Tamandua tetradactyla: one gene and its partners. The protein of the gene in region 1 interacts with the protein of each later gene in a pairwise test. Links are inferred from orthologs where the notes say so. Each region holds a gene or a part of one and is shown in the gene's direction. Other genes may lie near its edges. The genes, in order: HOMER3, EAF1 and PKN1.

Evidence for each region.
Region 2: the proteins of HOMER3 (region 1) and EAF1 interact in binary tests that used the Homo sapiens proteins (3 or more experiments, as listed by UniProt). The two-hybrid records come from large-scale screens. The link is inferred for Tamandua tetradactyla from reciprocal best matches to the Homo sapiens genes HOMER3 and EAF1.
Region 3: the proteins of HOMER3 (region 1) and PKN1 interact in binary tests that used the Homo sapiens proteins (3 or more experiments, as listed by UniProt). The two-hybrid records come from large-scale screens. The link is inferred for Tamandua tetradactyla from reciprocal best matches to the Homo sapiens genes HOMER3 and PKN1.

Annotation. Positions count from the first base shown.
Region 1 is NC_135337.1:95,888,130-95,891,875, forward strand, and holds the start of HOMER3 (homer protein homolog 3), read left to right. Parts: upstream 1-1,506; 5' UTR 1,507-3,746. UniProt on the Homo sapiens protein: Postsynaptic density scaffolding protein. Binds and cross-links cytoplasmic regions of GRM1, GRM5, ITPR1, DNM3, RYR1, RYR2, SHANK1 and SHANK3.
Region 2 is NC_135341.1:73,240,907-73,244,652, reverse strand, and holds the start of EAF1 (ELL-associated factor 1), read left to right. Parts: upstream 1-940; 5' UTR 941-1,092; coding exon 1,093-1,195; intron 1,196-3,074; coding exon 3,075-3,169; intron 3,170-3,746. UniProt on the Homo sapiens protein: Acts as a transcriptional transactivator of ELL and ELL2 elongation activities.
Region 3 is NC_135337.1:88,509,933-88,513,678, reverse strand, and holds the start of PKN1 (serine/threonine-protein kinase N1), read left to right. Parts: upstream 1-766; 5' UTR 767-821; coding exon 822-860; intron 861-1,456; coding exon 1,457-1,760; intron 1,761-2,975; coding exon 2,976-3,127; intron 3,128-3,746. UniProt on the Homo sapiens protein: PKC-related serine/threonine-protein kinase involved in various processes such as regulation of the intermediate filaments of the actin cytoskeleton, cell migration, tumor cell invasion and transcription regulation.

The DNA of each region.
Region 1 (3,746 bases):
CTTTCAAATTCCTCTTTATGCTCTTCTACCATCTTCTTGAGCTCCTTTATGTCATTTGCTGTCCCACTTATTTTATTTATTAGGGAGAGTTGTGTGAGCATCCTTGGTTAGTTGTTGCAGCCTCTGCATCTCCTCTGGTGTTTCACTTTGGTCATCAGATGGGGCTGCATCTGTCTGCACTGTGATATGCTTGGTGGTCTTTGGCTGTCCCCGTTGCATGTAGATGTCTTGACTGATATACTCTGGGGGTTGATTTTTCAGGAGTCTAAGGCCCTGTGTGTGCAGGACAGCTGCACAGCAGGGAGCAGGGCGCAGGTGGCGCCCTCAGTGCAGGGATCTGTTTCAGGGAAGGTGTGGGAGCAGGCTGGGGACGTTACACCAATGCCTGTGAACACGGCGCCCAGCACCCAGGAAGGATGGAGCTGGGCGGGTGCCCGGGTCTGGGGGCATAACCCTGGTGGGCGCGGGTCCCCTTGTGCGCATGCGGAGAGCTGCAGCCGCAGGTCAGGCCTTCATGGATTGGGGGCAGCTGTGACCCGCTGGACAGGTCGGCCCTTTCTCAAGAGTTGTGTGAGGCGGAGTGCCGTGCGCATGCGCGGTTCTAGGCCTGTGTACCGTGTGTCTCCCAGAAATGAGTGACGTGATGCGGGCTGTGCGCATGTGCAATTGTAGGACCCGCGTAGAGTGCGGTTCCCGGAGCTGTGACGTGAAGCGGCCCGTGCGCATGCGCGGGTCTGGGAGCGCCGCGAACGGCCGCGCCAAGCTCAGGGTGGGTGAATGAGGCTGGAACTCTGTGGGGGGTGGGGGGTGGGGGGGGGGGGGCCTAGGTGGGGGTCAGAGCCCAGCCTTTATGCGCTGGCGTCAGCCTGCAGCGCACAAGGAGGGGAGGGAGGGGAGGCAGGGTCGGAGGGTGCAGGAGAGACTGGCTGGGCTGCGCTGGGGGTGGTGGGGTGGAGGCGCCTGGAGCACGGGGAATGGGGGCGGGTGAGGGGGTGCGGGTGCGTGGGGGGTGGGGGGTGGTCCCGGGTCTGTGCCGGTGAGGGTGGCGCCCAGGGAACGCGGCCCGGCCGACCTCCTGGTCCTGGCTCCCGTGCGGCCCCTCCCGCGGCTCCGTGCCGGCCCGGCCTCCTGCCCCCCAGCCCCCCGGCCTCCTGCCCCCCAGCCCCCCGGCCTCCTACCCCCCAGCCCCCCGGCCTCCTGCCCCCCCAGCCCCCCGGCCTCCTGCCCTCCAGCCCCCTGGCCTCCTGCCCCCCAGCCCCCCGGCCTCCTGCCCCCCCAGCCCCCCGTCCTCCTGCCCCCCAGCCCCCCGGCTTCCTGCCCCCCCAAGCCCCCCGGCCTCCTGCCCTCCAGCCCCCCGGCCTCCTGCCCCCCAGCCCCCCGGCCTCCTGCCCCCCCAAGCCCCCCGGCCTCCTGCCCTCCAGCCCCCCGGCCTCCTGCCCCCCCAGCCCCTCGGCCTCCTGCCCCCCCAGCCCCTCGGCCTCCGCAGCCAGGGCTGCCGCCCCAGGGCAGCCGCCCTCTGGAATTGCCACCTCAGTCATCCTTCTGTCCCTTCTCGACCTTTTCCCTGGAGCAGGGCTGACCTTGAGCCACTCTAGTGGGCCATGCTCCCATTTATTCACCTATCATTTTACTTCTCTAGCGTGGCTCCCTGACATGGAACGTGGTGTCCTGTTTTGTTTTCCCGCACACACGCGTGTGAACGAACGGGTTCTCTCCCTACAGCGGCTCGTCAGGAGGCATCCTCAGTTCCGGGACTGTGCAGGGATGCATCCATGCTGTCTTCTGGGGCCCTCCTGGGCGGCAGGAGGTAGAGACTGGATCTTAGAAAGGAGGGCTGCCCGGCACCCAGCTTTCCCCCATTGCCCGGAGACTGGGGCCGCTTGGCCAGGGTGGTGGTACTTGAGCTGAGGCGCAGGGGGCCTGGCCATGGGCTCAGGTTGGGGCAGAGCAGCCTGTGCAAAGGCCCTGAAGTGGGGTGGCTTCTCCCATGCGGGGGTGCTCAGGAAAGCCGGTATTGCTGGGCAGGGGAACAAGGGGAGTGAGCAGGCTGCCGAGGGCTGCAGAGCTCACGGCAGGAACCCCAAAGCTTGGGTACTACATGTCCATGGGTGGGGGTATGTGTGGATGGGGGGGGTGCATGGTAGGGGTGGGTGGATGATGGCTGGCTGAGTGGAAGAGTGGGTGGATGTGTGAATAGGGGGGAGGGCGGATTATTGGATGGACAGATGGGTGGATGGGTGGGGGGTGAGTTGGGTGGACCAAGGAGCCAGGGAGTGACAAGGTGGGGTTTGTTCCTCAACCCCAGTACCCCCTAACTCCTCCTCTGCTGGCCCCCCAGAGAGGCCCGTCCAGAACTCCCAGCGGGGGCAGCTTCGGCACTGTCTGTCACAGCCCCCTCCCCAGTCGAGCCTCCCCCGAGGGCTGCCCAGGGCCTGTGCCCCCTACTTGGTGGCACCCCTGTTCCACAGCCAGGGTCTCCTGTGGCATAGGGACCCCCAGGAGCTGGGCGCCCCTTGGAGGAAGGCGTGGGGGCACAGTGAGGGCGCCTACCTGTCTCAGGGGCCATCCCTGGCTCAGCTCTGGGAGCCCCCCAGGAAGACGGGGTGGCCCACTGCTCCCCAAGCCCTGCACATTGGCTCGTACCCCACCCCGTTCCTCCCCCTCTAGGCCTGGTGCCTGGTTTGGGGTCACGTGCCCAATTGCCCAGGCCCCCTGAGAAAGACCAGGGCCCCCACACCCCTGAACAGGGTTTGAGAGGACCTACAGCTCCTCCTCTCCCCAGCTTGCTCCTTACCAGTGGAGGGCACCTCCAGAATGATAGGGACACCCCAAGAGCTCGGCCCAGGCTGGAAATGGAAGCTGGGGGATCCCCAGGTCATGAGGACGGGCTGGCCTTCCCCTTTCTGGCCTCCCTCCCCTTGGTCCCCTTTTCTTTAGGGTTTTGCTATAACACAGAATTGAAGAGCTCTGGGGAGCAGGGACCTCAGTTCCTGGAATTCTGCCAGCCTAGGTTCTGGGTTCCTCAAGATTTAGCAGGGATGCACAGGCCCCAGGCTGAGCCCACCCACGCAGTACCCTGCACTCCTTCTCTGGTGGTGGGCCCTCTGCTCCTGCCCCACCCCCAGCCTCGTTTTCCCCCCCAGGCCCAGGCCTGGCTGAAGCTCCCAGTCAAGTTTAGCAGGGGACCCTGCATCTCCCGTCGCCAAGCCATGGTCCTGGGCCTGAGCAGGGGTCTGTCAGCTGCCGGGAACCTCCTGGCGGAGCGCAAAGCAGTAGGATTTGAACCCAGGCCCTCCCCCCGGGCGTTTCCCCACACGTACGGCGCCTGAGGACTTCCTCCTCCCCCTTCCCTCGGGGCCCCTCCCTGGCGCTGGGGGCCTGTGATTTCCCTGGAAGCAGCTGTTTCCGTCCCACGCCAGGCTTGGAATTTCAGAGATAAAGGAGCAGGGCCCAGGGCCTCCGAGGGGAGGAAGGGCGGGGGGTGGAGGCCCGGGGGTGGGAGCCAGAGCTCAGGGCCCAGCGGAAGGACGATGTACCTTGCATGGAGCGTCTGAGCCAGCCCAGCTTTCACAGCCTCTGCAAAAAACCCAGGTTGGCGCCAAATCACACGCAGCAGCCAGAGACTCACCTCCAAGTGCCAACTCAGATCATGCCCCTGCCCTGCTCAGACGCCTCCTGTGGCTCCCCAGTTCTCTGAGCACACACCCCTCGCTGGGTCCAGCTCCCAGAGCCCCTCACCCTTGACT
Region 2 (3,746 bases), on another chromosome or scaffold:
CTAGATGCTCATTCTACAGAAAACTCTGCTACGAAAGGTCACAAAGAAGACCAAGATATACTTCTTGCCCTCAAACGGCTTACCATCCAGTGGCCAGGCCTGGCTTATGCACCGAACTCTAATTCAAGACAAAATGAGTCAATTTTTACAATAAATTTATATAGTTGTGAAAAAGGACACTCTCAAGATCTGAATACAAAACCTTGGGGGAAAATGCTCATCAATTTTCAGGGCCTGTGAAGGGAATAACTTAACAACAACGAAAGCTGAACAGGAGGCGGTGGTGGGTTGCCAGATAGAAGTAGGATCATCGTTTCCCAAGGTCTGCAGGATCAAGACTCCGTTTTGCTCGGTGACATCGAGATAAGCCCGGGTGGTCCGAGTCTCTAAGTCTCAGATCCCACTCACACGAGACTGTCGTACGAACCAGAGGGGGCGTCGTTTTTCAGAAACTGAAGCTCCCACACCCCTTCACGGCACGAAGGGGAAGAAGATACCCAGTTATGCGTAGCAGAGGGTCCTGAGTACACAGGTCTCCCAGGACATTCTGAATGAACTGAGCCCACTTGCGGACATCTAGGGCTGCAGAGAGCTGGCCATGTTAGCTATCCGACCCGGACTAATTTAGTCGTGCGCTCTAGGCCCACCCTCAGCATTTCTAGGTTCATCTGTTGACCCAGGGCCTGACACACTCACCCCTCAGCCAGCACCAGCGCTCGGAGGCGAACTTTAGGAGCCGCCACAGGAAAACCCGAGCTGGGTCAAGACAGACTTGCGGACCTCGATTTGGGATTCTAAGGCCGGAGTTATTTCGCCATGAAACCTCGCCCGCTACATCCGCCGCGAACCCTTAAGTCCCTCCCCGACACCGGAAATCCCTCAGTCTCGCTTCGTCCGAGTCTCCCCCTACCCCGACGCAGAGGCGGAAACTTCGTTCCAGTCACCGGTGGGGTCCGGCTCGGCTGTCGGTGCGCCCCGGAGCGGTGTTCAGTGAGCACCGCTCTCCCGGACCCCGGCGCCGGAAGCTCGCGCAGCTTTCCCAGCTCCCGCGCCTGGAGAGCGCCGAGCCGGGCGCACCGCCCGTACGGGGCCATGAACGGGACCGCGAACCCGCTGCTGGACCGCGAGGAGCACTGCCTACGGCTCGGGGAGAGCTTCGAAAAGCGACCGCGGGCCTCGTTCCACACCATTCGCTGTAAGTCAGTGTTTCCCAGGGTTACCTAACTAGCCTCAGCACCCCCTCTGGCTTCGCTTGGCTTCCCGAACCTTAGGGAAGCCCCTGCCGACTCCCATCGGCAGCTCCCGATCACTCTTACTCTGAATCCTCCGAGATATCGTCTTCTTTCCTTTTCTCAGGTCACTCCTCCCAAACCGAAGCTTTTGTCACTCCCAACAATTTTTCTCTTGATAGAACCTATTTTTCGAAGGTCATTGGTCCCTCTTTCTTTGCATCCCACCACCCTAATTCTTTAGCCCAGACTCCCCCCCGCCTTTTTATTCCCGAAAGGCTGTGACCCCCTACATCAGACCCCAGTTCTTCTCTAATTCCATCCCGCCTCCCACTTCCTGATGCTTCCACCAGGGTTCTCCACGTTTGAAGGACTCTTCACATTTGTTTATAAGCCTCATCCGCTTCCTCGCACGCCGTTCTCGTCCCCCTTCCCCCCCCCCCCCCCAGCTTTCTTTCCTGGTTTGTCTTGGTTCTAGCGATCCTGGCACTGCTCATCCTCACTTCACCAGCCAGAGGATACTCCTGTCCGCCATCAGCGTCCTCCTCCAGCTTTTCGCACCTCGTTTGACTTTGCTGTCTTTTGAGGTCACCTCTGCTACCCTTACTGTTCCTCTAGACCTCCCCCCCCGCCGTGTGGATGAAGAATAAAATTAGAGTTTGTGAACCTGGGATAGGTTAAAGCTTGGTGGTGGGAAAGCAAAAGAGAGCATAGGCGTAAGAAATGTCAAAGTAGTCATTATGCTGGGCCTTTTTTCCCTACATGATTATAGACTCTGTTGAGGGAGAGGCATTTCCACTCTATATCCTTGGGTAGAGAATTAGCTGTTAGAAATTGGCTGACAGAGCGTCCTGCTGTGATTCACAAGCTCCTGGCTGCCCATCCTGGTAGTGCTAACACTTGTTAAGTCTTGTTTTTGTCAGAGGAACTAATAGATGTGACTCAACATGTAGGAAGAGGGCGGGTTAGATAATGAAGTTCCGTCTTTGTATGGTCACTTGCTATGCCATTACTGTGCTTTCTGAGAGCAGATATAGCTCTTTCCGAGGAGAGATATCAAGAATGTGACAAGGACATCAGTTCCTGAACACTACTTGGTTGATGTTTCTGTGGAGTGAGAAGGACAATGTGAAATTTAAATGAGACGATTTCCTTATGCACCTGGCCACGTTTGGGGCAGGATATACTAACAAGGTGCAAGATGGCTATTCATGTTATACTTTGCATTCCAGAAATATGGGCAGGGTAACCTTTGGAGATACAGTTCAGCCATCTGCTCTGAACATCTGTGGGAGTATGTTTGTCAAAGCTATGGAATTTAAGTATGGCAAGTCCTAATTTTGACAATTCCTCTGCAAGATGAAGTCTGCTTGTATGATGCTGTGGCCATTCATGTTTTCTGTTGGGCTTTGCAGGCAGAGTCTTTTTGCTCTATTGCCTTTGATCCTCATAACAACCCTAATAAAACATCTTACTGTGGATACTGCAGCATTAATTTCCATCTGTTACTTAGGTGAAGGGAATTTCTTTGCTTAATAAAGTGGCATTTAAATTCTAGTTTTTTTCAAAATAGTCCAGTGGGAATAGGAGGAAAAGTATGTAAAGGCATAGGTGAAAAATGATTGTCCCTTGTTGATAATTATTGAAGCTGGTACATGGAGTTCATTGTACTCTTCTCTTTATTTTTAAATTATGTGAAGTTTTCCATAATGAAATAATCCTAAATATGTTCTAAAGTATTTGTATTTGCCATTTATCTGAATAATAAAACATTTTAATTCTTAAATAAGATGCTCTGGAAGCCCTTGTTAGCTGATGGATAAATGCTTTTTCCTTTCCCTTTAGATGATTTTAAGCCAGCATCTATAGACACTTCCTGTGAAGGAGAGCTCCAAGTTGGCAAAGGAGATGAAGTCACAATTACGCTGCCACATATCCCTGTAAGTTTATTCTATTGTTGGTTTTTTTGTAGGCTCACAATGAATTATGTTATTGTAATTTAAGTTTCCTACTGCTTAAAATACTTTAGATTATTTAAGTGTCAACACAAGGAATACAGGAATTTGGGGAATAGATTAGAATTCTTGCTTCCCAAGTGCTTGATTAAAAGTGATTCTTTGCCATTTTCCCCAGAGCTCCTCCTCCACCCCCAATTTAGATGTCATTCCTAAAACCTAGCCACTGTTTTAGACATGCACAACTTTACCCAAGCACCTTTGTAGAGAAGAGCCCTTGGTGCCATGCTGATATACAGCAGCAGCAGTTCAGGGGTGCATGGTATCTAAGCCAGGAGTCATGGCAGTCAGCAGTGAGGCTTTCATCTTTCACATGTCTAGCAGGGGTTCAAGTGCAGTCTGCGAGTCTCAGGCAGGAGCCAGAGGTTCGAAGCATTCCTCTGGCTTTGGAATAAGGAAACCATTAAAAGCTGGATTGAAAACCCTTGTAGACAAAGATCTTTGTGAAGCCCTGCCCAAGACAGTGCTCTGATCCCAAAGCCTGAAGGGTTAGACAAAATAC
Region 3 (3,746 bases), about 7.4 Mb from region 1:
CCTGGTCTCTGTAGCACTCGCTGTCCTGACCCCAAAGGGGAAGTCAGGGACAAGGGGCGGGCAGAAGCATCTGGCTGTAGGGACACACGCAGGTATCAGCAGAGCTGAAGGCCCGTGGGAGCATGGGGAGGCCATGGGGGCCTCGGAGAGCGTGTGGGTATGTGTGTGTGTGTAGTGTGTGTGTGGCACCCACGTGGGCAGGTGGGAACGTGTATTGTACAAAGTTTGGGGGGGCATGTAAATATTCTCAGGCACATGCATAGAAGTATACACATGCGTGGGCGAGGGAATGTGCACACACCTGAAATCATTGTCCCATATGCATATCTATAGCTGTGGGAGTGTGCACACTTGTGGAAGTGAGAGTGTGCACACATGCCTGAGTTTGCGTTCCTTGCACACACCTGTAGATTCAGGAGTGTACACACATAAGTGAATCTGTATTCCGTGTGCACACCCATAGATGGGAGAGTGTACATGCACTTGTGAGTCTGCGTTCACGTGCGTGAGCTTGTGTTTTGTGTACTTGTCTACTGGTACGTGAGAACAGGCAGCCACCCAAGCCTTGGGAGCATGTGCATGCTCACGGATGCCTATTTGTCACATACATGCCAGTGGCATGGGAGCATACCCACCAGGGTGCCTCGGGGAAGCAGGCTTGTCCTGGAGGAGGGGTTATAAGGAAGGTCCCCGAGATGCCCTGGTGCCCGGGCTGGCCGTGGGGGCTGCCGGGAGCTGGCAGGAAAGAGGAAGTGGCGGGCGAGAGGCCCCGGCAGGGCGGAGGCTCAGGAAGAGGGCGGGGCCCTCACCTCGGACCCGGGATGGCGGAGGCTGAACCCCCTTCCCACCAAGAGCTGGAGGTGGGGCTGGGGTCCCTGTGGGGACTAGCGGGACAGGACTGGGTGGGTGGGAGACGGGCTCTGGCCGCCATACGTCCAAGTTTTGGACAGAGGAGAGGAGATAAGACGGGGGCTGCAGAGTCTTCATTTTGGAGGAAGAAGAGATTTGGGGATCTTTGGGACTCCCCCAGTGGGGAGACGTGGGAGGAAGGAGATCTACTCTGTTCTTTAGGGTCCTAATTGTAGAGGTCGGGGGAGCTGGGGGGGAAGCAGGGCCTGCTCTCAGCACCTACTAGTTTTGGGGGGACAGAGAGGGGGCACAGGGCCTACCCTTAGCGTCTCCTAGTTTGGGGAGACAGCTGAGGGGAGATAGACCTGCCCTAGGCCCCTGCTCCTTTGGGGGCTCAGCACTGGGGTGCTGGAGCCTCCCTCTGGAGTCCACTGCCTGAAGGACAGACAAAAGGAAGCAGTGCTGTCTCTGGGGGGTCCTCTAGTCTGGGGGGCCAGGGCCTTGCCAGTTTTGGGGTCTCTGAAGAGCAGGTCAGGCTCTTGTTTTTGGGAGTCCTGATGTGGGGGGAACCTTCCTGGCTCCTCTGACCCTGCCCTGTCACCTGCAGAGTGAGCCGCGCAGCTGGTCCCTGCTGGAGCAGCTGGGCCTGGCGGGTGCGGACCTGGCGGCCCCCGGGGTGCAGCAGCAGCTGGAGCTAGAGCGGGAGCGGCTACGGCGGGAGATACGCAAGGAGCTGAAGCTGAAGGAAGGCGCGGAGAACCTGCGTCGCGCCACCACCGACCTGGGCCGCAGCCTGGGGCCCGTGGAGGTGCTGCTGCGTGGCTCATCACGCCGCCTCGAGCTGCTGCACCAGCAGCTGCAGGAGCTACATGCCCACGTGGTGCTGCCCGACCCTGTGGCCACCGCCCATGGTGAGCTAGGAGGCCCGGGGGGCGTGGGGCACGCATGCCACCTCCACCGCTGGGCCCGGGCGTACAGTACCAGCTGCTGAGAGACATGCACCACCAACTGTACACATGCAGTCACACCAACAGGCAGACATGCACCCCCAGCTGTGCATATGCAGTCATACCAACAGGCAGATATGCACCGACAGGCAGACACGCACCACTAGCTGTATACACAGTCACACCAACAGGCAGACATGCACCCCCAGCTGTACACATGCAGTCACACCAGCAGGCAGACACGCACCCCCAGCTGTATATGCAGTCCCACCAACAGGCAGACACACACCCCCAGCTGTACACATGCAGTCCCACCAACAGGCAGCCATGCACCCCCAGCTATCCACAGAGTCACACAACAGCAAGAGACACAGTATCGACTGCTGACCTCCAGAGAGATATACGTGGTCACACCCACTCCCAGACATGTACCACTGGCTACATACACACAGTCGCACCAACAGGCAGACATGCACCACTGGCTACATACACGCAGTCATATCAACACCCAGACAGGCAACACTGGCTCCAAAGACCCCAAAGGGACACGTGGTCTTGGCAACACCAAGTCTTTTAATACAGTCATAGCAAACACTGCAATCTGCAGTCACACCAATACCCTGAGACTCACCCACAGTCAATACCAACACCCAGAAAATGCCAGAAGACTCTCTCACAGTCCCACCAACACCTGGACAGCACCCAGAGACACACATGCCCAGCTGTACCAACACCCAAAGATTCCCACGCAGACTCACACAGCACCCAGGGGTCCCAGTTCGTAGCTGTATGAATGGAAACGTATGCATAGGGCCACCTCAGTACCTGGCATCTCACGATCGTTCCATCACCTGACATCTCCCAGTTACACACATAGCAGGCGGGAGACACACAGACCTCCTCACACCCACAGTCACTCACACTCAGTTGCATTAACCTCTAAGGACTCAGACACCTGAATAAATAGTTGGGGATTCCCACACATGCTTGCACCAATGTCCAGGAACTTACACCACCTGCCTGTGCTCACTTATGTTGGGTCATGCCACTGAAGAGGGGTGGGGGGATATTCCTGGGGTGGCTGGGGGTGGCTAGAAGTTTCTGGGCCCGGGTGTCCCCTACCGGCCTGTCCGCTGGTGCTGGGGGCCATAGTGACGTGCTCTTTCCCGCCCCCTCCAGATGCACCCCAGTCCCCCGGAGCGTGTGGCTCGGCCTGCTCGGCCACCAATCTGAGCCGTGTGGCTGGCCTGGAGAAGCAGCTGGCCATCGAGCTGAAGGTGAAGCAGGGGGCCGAAAACATGATCCAGACGTACAGCAACGGCAGCACCAAGGTGGGGGCCATGCATGCACATACGCACCCACCCACACGTACGTGTACAATCTTACACACACATTCCATACATAGGTGTGCACTCACCCTACATGCACACATATACCTGTACACATTTACCTGTGTGTGCACACATGCCCCCTATTAACATACTTCCTACACACACACACCTGTATGCATACTTGGAGACAGGATCGGGATGCAGGTAGCTCCTAGGGGCATATGAGGAGTGTGTTTGTGTTGGGGGGGCGGGGGGGTGATGTCAGAAGGACCATCACGGAGATTTTTCGTTGTGGTAAAAGGCACATCGTAACACAGGCCATCGCCCCTCCCCCACCTCTCATCTTGCCCCTTTGGTGGGCCCTGGACAGGGTCCTAGAGGAAGCCCAGTGGCCGTCATGCACACACTGGTGTCAGATGTCTGGCCCAGGCTCTGTGGTGGTGACCTGAGGAACTTGCTGTCCCAGAGCTTGTCCTGCCCATGCAAAGGGCTCCCAGAGCTCCCCAGGGAAAGCCATCACGTGGCTGCCAGGGGCAGGGATTGCCCAGGGCAGTGGCCAGGGCCTTGAGGACACTGCTTCCTTGGGAAGAAGGGGTGTTCGTGCCCAGGTGTATGGGCG